Mytilus edulis: one gene and its partner. The protein of the gene in region 1 interacts with the protein of each later gene in a pairwise test. Links are inferred from orthologs where the notes say so. Each region holds a gene or a part of one and is shown on either strand. Other genes may lie near its edges.

Region 1 (3,761 bases):
TCGCCCTGATACCTGTTAGCCCCGGGTATGTTCGCCCTGATTTTTATTTTTTATTATAGTGTTGTGTTGTGTGTATTTAATTGAATATGTTGAAGCACTACATTGTATTTTTAAATGTACTAAGTTATTATGTTGTCTTGCTGCTACGAGGATAAGTTTCTGTGAATTCAAAGACTACAAAGTATTTGACATGAAACAACTAAAGACTAAGTTTTTTATATATTTAACTTTATTGATACATTTTAACAATATCAAATATTCAGTAACAGTTATAACAGTTATAAATTGCTATTTGGATGGAGAGTTGTCTCTATTACTTATTATAAAAAAAACCGGGACATTCTACTTCTAAATTAATTAAAAGGGTTAGTTTGAATTGTATGGGCTTTTTTGTCATGTCGTACTTTGCGCTGACTCCACTGTTTTTTCAAGCTTCGTATGAAATGTTATTTTCATTATTAATCCATCAAAGACAATTCATATACCAATCAGTGATATCAAAGATTTCAAATTATACCTAATCAGCAATCACAATTCAATCAACAGTAATTAAAAGTTATTATAAAATAAAGTGTAAAAAGCAGCCAAGAATTTTACTTAATTAATATTCTGTAGCCCCACAGGACGCAATTACGACTGGACACAATTACGAACGATTTCCAATGTTTGCCCTCTGAGATCATATTTGTTTATATTTATCAATAAATGTTTTTATAAATAAAAACCCTATTAAAAATCCCTTGTTTTCATGATAATACAATTTATGTGCACTTGGTGAATGTTGATGACGATGACAAAATCATTCTGAAAATATTATAAGAACGGCAATCTGACCTGGAAGTTATGTAAATAAATACTTAAAGGTAAGTGCATATTACCTTCTTTTGTTAATATATAGAAAGAAAAATATCTCCTGATTCTGTTCATATGCGTGATGCCTTTTATCATGCCCAAATAACCCCTCAATTGACGTTTTTTAGACTCTTGTGAACCTATTTATGGCCAAAAGAAAATATGTTAATTTTATTGAAAAGTCCAGAGAACTCCGAAAGAAATGTTGACCAATATAAAAAAAATCATAGATGAATGATAAGTACACCACCGAAATGGATAAACTTGAATTTAGTGCTCCTTTAAAGGAGGAACTTACACAAAAACAAAAAAAATCAGAAATCTTTCCTTTACACATGACCAACATTTCGTCTGCAACCACTGCTGAAGTAATTGAAGTAAAAAACAAACTTGTGCTTTTTATTTTCCTATGAAAATGTGTTTGAGGTAAAGATTAATGTATGCTTTATCAATATAGACTGTTGTCATTGATTTTTTCTGCAAGATATATCAATATAGTGCTGTTCGGAATTGCGTCCATATGTGGCTCTCTTGACCCGTAAAACGAGGTCACGCAAATCTTACTAAAGTATCCCAACGTGCATAAAAATTTATGTGGGATATGATGCAAAATGGAAAGCCTTTATACATCTTAAATTCTATGGTATAAAAAATTCAAGAAAAGTAGTCTACATAAAAAAATTATTAATCACAGTTCAAAAATCGTTCGTAATTGTGTCCGGTGAGGCTATTTAACTTTTAATAGATATACATAAATTTTAATATATATATAGATATATTTCTTTCATTAATCATGTTAATGTAACATATACATATCATAAATGAAAATAGGGCGAACGAACCCAGGGTGAACAAATTACCAGGGCAAACAAACTCAGTGCGAACGAACCTAGGGCGAACATGTTATCAGGGCGAACGATCCCGTTACCACAAAAGTGGAGGGGGGCAGCCGACCAGCAAAAAATTTCACATAGCATCGAGCTTCTGTATTTTATGGTACCAATCTGTAAAAAGCCTTATAACCTATTTATCATTCTGTTACTGAATATATGTGATACTTAACATATATGCATAGTACAGTCTTCAAATGGGGTTATTTTTACAGTACAGCAGTAAATCATATTTATAGTCCCTCCCTTTTGAGGACTTCTGATTTAAACCTCGTGTCAGGGACTAGTTTGAGTATGTGTTTCAGCTAGGTCGTAGCATATTTTCAGAAGGTTATCATTCTTATAAACAATAAAAGCGTTAGTATGTTAGTTGATTCAATGATAATTTGCAACTGTCAAACTTATGAAACTGACGGAAGACGGGACCTCATAAGTTTTGAAACCAGTTTTCTATTTGACCATTCTTCTCATACATCTTTAATAATAACTTTGTTCATTTGTTTAATAGATTCTCTTATTTCTAAAAAGTGTTTCAAATGCATTATCACTTTATTTACCCTCTAACAGTCGAGAGATCAGACTGTCAACATTCAATTCTGTTTCCGCCATATTGTCTTATGACGTCACAAATAGTTGTTGACAAGCACCTTGCAAAATCAAAGAACTTCCCACAACGGGTAGTGCAGATCTTTATTAAACTCGATATAATACTTATTTCATATCTATGTTTCATTGATATTCAGTTACAAAAAGCGTTTAAACGGCATTTTGGACTGTTTTCGATGAAATTACCGCCCGTAATTTGGCAACCACATTCCTTTCGTAGATGTCGCTGTTTCAGATATTTTTATGTGATGAATACGATATACAAAAGGCGCGAATTTCAACATCAGTATTATACAAATTTGCCTTCAACAGGAGTCCATTAAGCTTTATTTAAAAACATTAAAATTTCTTTGCTTTAGTTTCTCTATCTATTTTCTTTTTTGAAACATTACGTCTGTTACTGAGGTCTGTTTATGATCATATTTCTGTTATTTTGTAAAAGTCTTTTTATTACTAAATAAGACCTCAAACAACAGCAGGGACTTAATATAGAAAGTCACATTAACAGATCAAAAAGTTATGTTTATCTCTTATCAAGCTGACCCTCATAGCTACGAGATATAAAAAATCTAAAATATGATTTGTTTTATTTACTTATTCATTGAGGGGGGCAAGGGGTTTATCTGTTATGCTGTTATGGGGCAATTTAATTCTTTGTTATCTGTTATTTTGAAAATATTTTTGCTGTTAGCTGTTATTGTCGTATTCTTTGTTAGCTGTTATTGGGCTATTAGTTTTTTTGTTATCTGTTATTGTGATAATGTATTTGCTGTTAACTGTTATTGAAAATTGGAATGTTAGCATTTTTTTTTACAGTCAATATTCGGTTTAATATGAAGATCATTGGACATTGGGGTCTACCACTTCTAACACGTTTGTCCCGTATTCAGAAACATCTCAGGGGCGGATCCAGCCATTTAAAAAAAGGGGGGGGGGTGTTTCTAACCTAGGACAAAAGGGGGGGGGGGGGTTCCAATTACATGTCCCAATTCAAATGCATTGATCGTCCAAAAAAAGGGGTGGTTCCAACACCCGGAACCCCCCCCCCCCCCCCCCTCTCTGGCTCCGCGCCTGCATTTACCCATCACAGTCAGAAGTGAAGTCCAGGACAATTCAAGAACTAGTATATCTTATGATTATCCTTTGTATTAAATTCCATTTTTTTATGAATGTGTATTTAGAATTATCTTAATTTTTTGTATGAGAATAATGTTCCTTGTTTCCCGTACGAACATATTAAATTAAAACAATTCTTAATATGACAAAAAGGAAAACATATGGCCAGGAATATCTGACAAGGATCTCAATTAAGAACTAGGTCCTAACAACCAGTTAACCTTTTATATAATATGGTACTTAGACTCAGCTTTGTGATTCTTTTCAAAGCAGAACCAAATGCATTGTACAATGAAA
Region 2 (3,761 bases), about 18 Mb from region 1:
AGACATTTTACTATACTGCAGTACTGTTACATTGTATGCAGTTAGAATAAAAAAAAAAGATGTGGTATGCGTGCCAAGTCACAATATGTAAAAGTACAGTCTTCAACAAGCAGCCTTTGTTTATGTTGAACAGCCAGCTATTAAGGGCCCCAAACAAGACTAGTGTAAATCTATTCAAACAGGAAAACCAGGATATTTATGTATATATATGTATTTTTCAACATTGTACTGCTTGTGAGAGGGTAAAAGAGGGTAGGAATGCCCTTTAAATTTACTGTTAGACGTCAAACAGTCATTTTCGGCTACCATTAAGGGTCAATTTGGTTTATACATGTATTTTACTGTGTTTCATCAAAATCCCTTATCCTGATTAGTCAGAGGTTTTAACAATTATTTAATTTTTTTGTACCATTATTTTTTGGGGAAAAAATTCATGATTCGTCTAATTCAGTCTTATTTAAGTGTACATTTTATCATCATGCACCAAATAAAATTAATGCCACTAATGTCATTTGGCAAGAATTTTTACTGTATTCGTCTTAAAGGAACCCCCATTACGACCCTCATAATAATATTACCTGAAGCTCTTCAAGACTTGTACCAGCTTGAAACGTCTCCCAAGTCTGTCTGCTGTCTTTCTCTTTCAGCAGTAACAACACAGCATTATTATTGTTCACTTCAAAGCTACAATGTTCTGGAACAAAACAGTTTTTGGCAGAAAACTTTGCCAGAAAGCTGTAATGAAGTGGGAAACCACTAGCTCCTTTTGCCATGAATTTGATATGACATACATTTGGCAACGGAAACAATTTTGACACAGAATCAGGGACTATCTTTTTCACTTTAAATATGAATGTTACAGTGTCAAAATCTTGTGAAAATTCAAATGTTGGAAATCCATATGAGATCTTTGGTGTATGATTTAAGTATGCAGGGCATTCATTTCCCATCTTATTATCAATAACTGTTTCCTCCTCCTTTGAGACTGGCTTGGCATTAGCTTCTGTTGTGCTGATAACTTCTATTAAAGGGTTTTCAACTGCCTCAAACTTTTTTTCAACCTCATCAGTCTTGGGCTCATTCTCAGGTTTTATTTCTTCAATGAAATTTGGTAGTTTTGGCATCTCTTCTGGTATAACAGGTAACGTAACTATTAAACATCTATTTGATTTATCAAACTTTGCAGAGCCTTGACTTTCATCGACAGCATATGGCAATTCTAAATCTAACTTGTATTTAGCTGGTTCTGTAGACTGAAGTACAAGTTTTTTCTCAAATATATCAAGCTCAACTGGCTTTGAATTAGCAAGCAAAGGTAATTCAATTGAAACAACAAGTGCTTTTGGTCGGGTACTAGGCCTTGAGTCAGGAGTATTTCTGTACTCTTGTAAATCCATGTCAGATCTATGTGTAATGGTATACTTTGGAACTGTAGCATCATCTTCAGCTCTCTTTTCTGCTTGGTTTCTTTTGGTTTTCCCTGCTTTTTTACTCTCTGCTTCTTTCTTCCTTTTAACAGCATCAGCCATTTCTTTAGCCTTTTCTTCACTTGATTTTTCATCGAATGGATATGGCATTTTCCTAATTGGGTCATCTTCATCCAATGGTTTGGCTGGTTCATTTGCTTTTGAACGAATAACAGTGGCAGTGGGTGTACCTTTGTATGGCAAATTTGGCCGTGTGATATTCTTTCTGTCAACTTTCACGCCAAACTGCCGCTCTATACCGTCAATAGCTGTGTCTTCAACAAGGCCTCTGAATCTTATGTTTGACTTAGACATTCTGTACGTATCAGGGTGAAATACTACATCATATACTCTGCATTTTACTTTATGTTTGTCAAGATCATCTCTTGGAGGTGAATGTGAGTGAGGTATTGACCAATTAACACCACTTTTGCCATCTGATGAAGTTTGACGTTTTGCAACCGGCTTACCCATCTTGTCATTCTGACAGATATTGATGAATGCTTTCACGTTACCATCAACGCTAGTTTTCAAGACATGACCAGGCTGCGGGTGGATAAACTGTACGTTCATACCACGTTCTTGTTCCATTTGTGCTATCTCTTGTTCATAAATTTTTCGATTTTCGGGGTTTTGGATTTCTTCGGCATATTCCAAAAATAACTTCCTGAATTGTTCATCTTTCAACGCTTCTCCTATCTTCTTCACCTCATCTTCTGTTATTTTAAAGTCTTCTTTCTTTTCGGACCCCATTTTTCAATTCTTTTGATTGCTACAAAAACAAATATTCGGTCAGCTTTTTGCTCCCAAGGAACGCTCTTTCGGAATTTTCTAAATCGTTGATAGTAGAGGATAAATCTAGAGAAATCAAGCAAAGGGAAATAACTCAATTTCGTGTTAAAACCTGCAGGTTCTCGAATTTTCGCTGTCCAGAATATTTTTAATCACTTTCCACAAATGAAATTTCTGACGTAATATGAACATGAAAAATTAAACGGTATTAATGTTTTTTGAATATCTTTAATTTTAAGGCATTCATTTTAATTGGTAAAAATCTCCTTTAATTTTCTAAAATGATAGAATAATAAAAAATTCTTCAAAAACTACCATTCTCCATTCAGTATACAAAATTACAGCAAAGCAATAATATATGTAAATCATAGCTAGAACATTTCATATAAATATAGTCAACAATACAGCATTTCAAGATTTACTAAAAAATCAACAATAGTGTTCCCTAATCACAATTTGAAATTATTTTTTACACTTATGTCTTATTCTTTATGTCAGTTAATTCAATAACATTTAAATTTGCATCACATTCGCTCCACCATTATCTTTAGTTTTTTTTTTTTATATTATCAACCTAAAAAGAATTTCGTCCTCAAGTAGTGACATTGTACATGTATAAATAATCTGGATATACATTACACTATTGTTTCAGGTAAGGGCTAAGGTTGGTGCCTTTTAAAACGTTTAAACCCACTGCATTTGTTTGCACCTGTCCTGAGTCAGGAACATGATGTTCAGTAGTTGTCATTTCATTTGTTGATGTGGTTTATTTTGTTTTTTAAATAGATTAGACCTTTGGTTTTCTCGTTTGAATGGTTTTACACGTCATTTTTAAGGGCCCTTTATAGCTTGCTGTAGCCAAGGCTCCGTGTTGAAGACCGTTCTTGATAATAAGATATTCAGCAAATAACAAGCAATCATTAAACATTTTTTTTGTTTTGTTATTATCAATCAGTTTTTTTTATCCAAAATCAAAACACATGTAAATATGAATTAATTGAAATGTGCATTATGTACATACTGATGAGTAACACAACACAACGACAAAAATCATCACATTAAGCTTCACAAAAGTAATGATTTTCAATTTTTCCTTAAAAATGTCTTTTTCCCAAAAGTTCACCATGAACATGTGTTAGTATTAATATGCCTTCATAGTTTGCATTAGATAATTATAAGGTTTAAGTTAACCCTGAGTGCACCCAAAACAACAAGCTGAAATTACCATGCCTTTTTAAATTCTGAATAAAATAGTAACAGAAATAGTCCCCTATATTTTGTTTACTCATCAAATTTAATATTATTCCATCATAATCAAGTCTCTTGTTCATCCGGTTATGGAAATATTAAAATGTTATGTGTACCTTGATTGTTCTTAGTACTACTGTAAATTCAGATTTAGTTTTGCATGCTCTTAATATTGCAATTTTTACAAAAATAAGTGTAATTTGAGAAATAAGTAATTGCAATTCCAGGAAATCTTAATTTCATTAAACATAACGT

Evidence for each region. The genes of interacting proteins can lie anywhere in the genome.
Region 2: the proteins of serine/threonine-protein phosphatase PP1-beta catalytic subunit (region 1) and protein kintoun-like interact in binary tests that used the Drosophila melanogaster proteins (3 or more experiments, as listed by UniProt). The link is inferred for Mytilus edulis from reciprocal best matches to the Drosophila melanogaster genes flw and Nop17l.

The regions. Positions count from the first base shown.
Region 1 is NC_092346.1:24,741,051-24,744,811, forward strand, and holds the start of serine/threonine-protein phosphatase PP1-beta catalytic subunit, read right to left. Parts: upstream 2,582-3,761; 5' UTR 2,352-2,581; coding exon 2,300-2,351; intron 1-2,299. UniProt on the Drosophila melanogaster protein: Required for cell adhesion in non-muscle tissues and in maintenance of muscle attachment. Vital for larval development.
Region 2 is NC_092346.1:42,371,790-42,375,550, forward strand, and holds the start of protein kintoun-like, read right to left. Parts: upstream 2,322-3,761; 5' UTR 2,220-2,321; coding exon 579-2,219; intron 1-578. UniProt on the Drosophila melanogaster protein: Required for cytoplasmic pre-assembly of axonemal dyneins, thereby playing a central role in motility in cilia and flagella.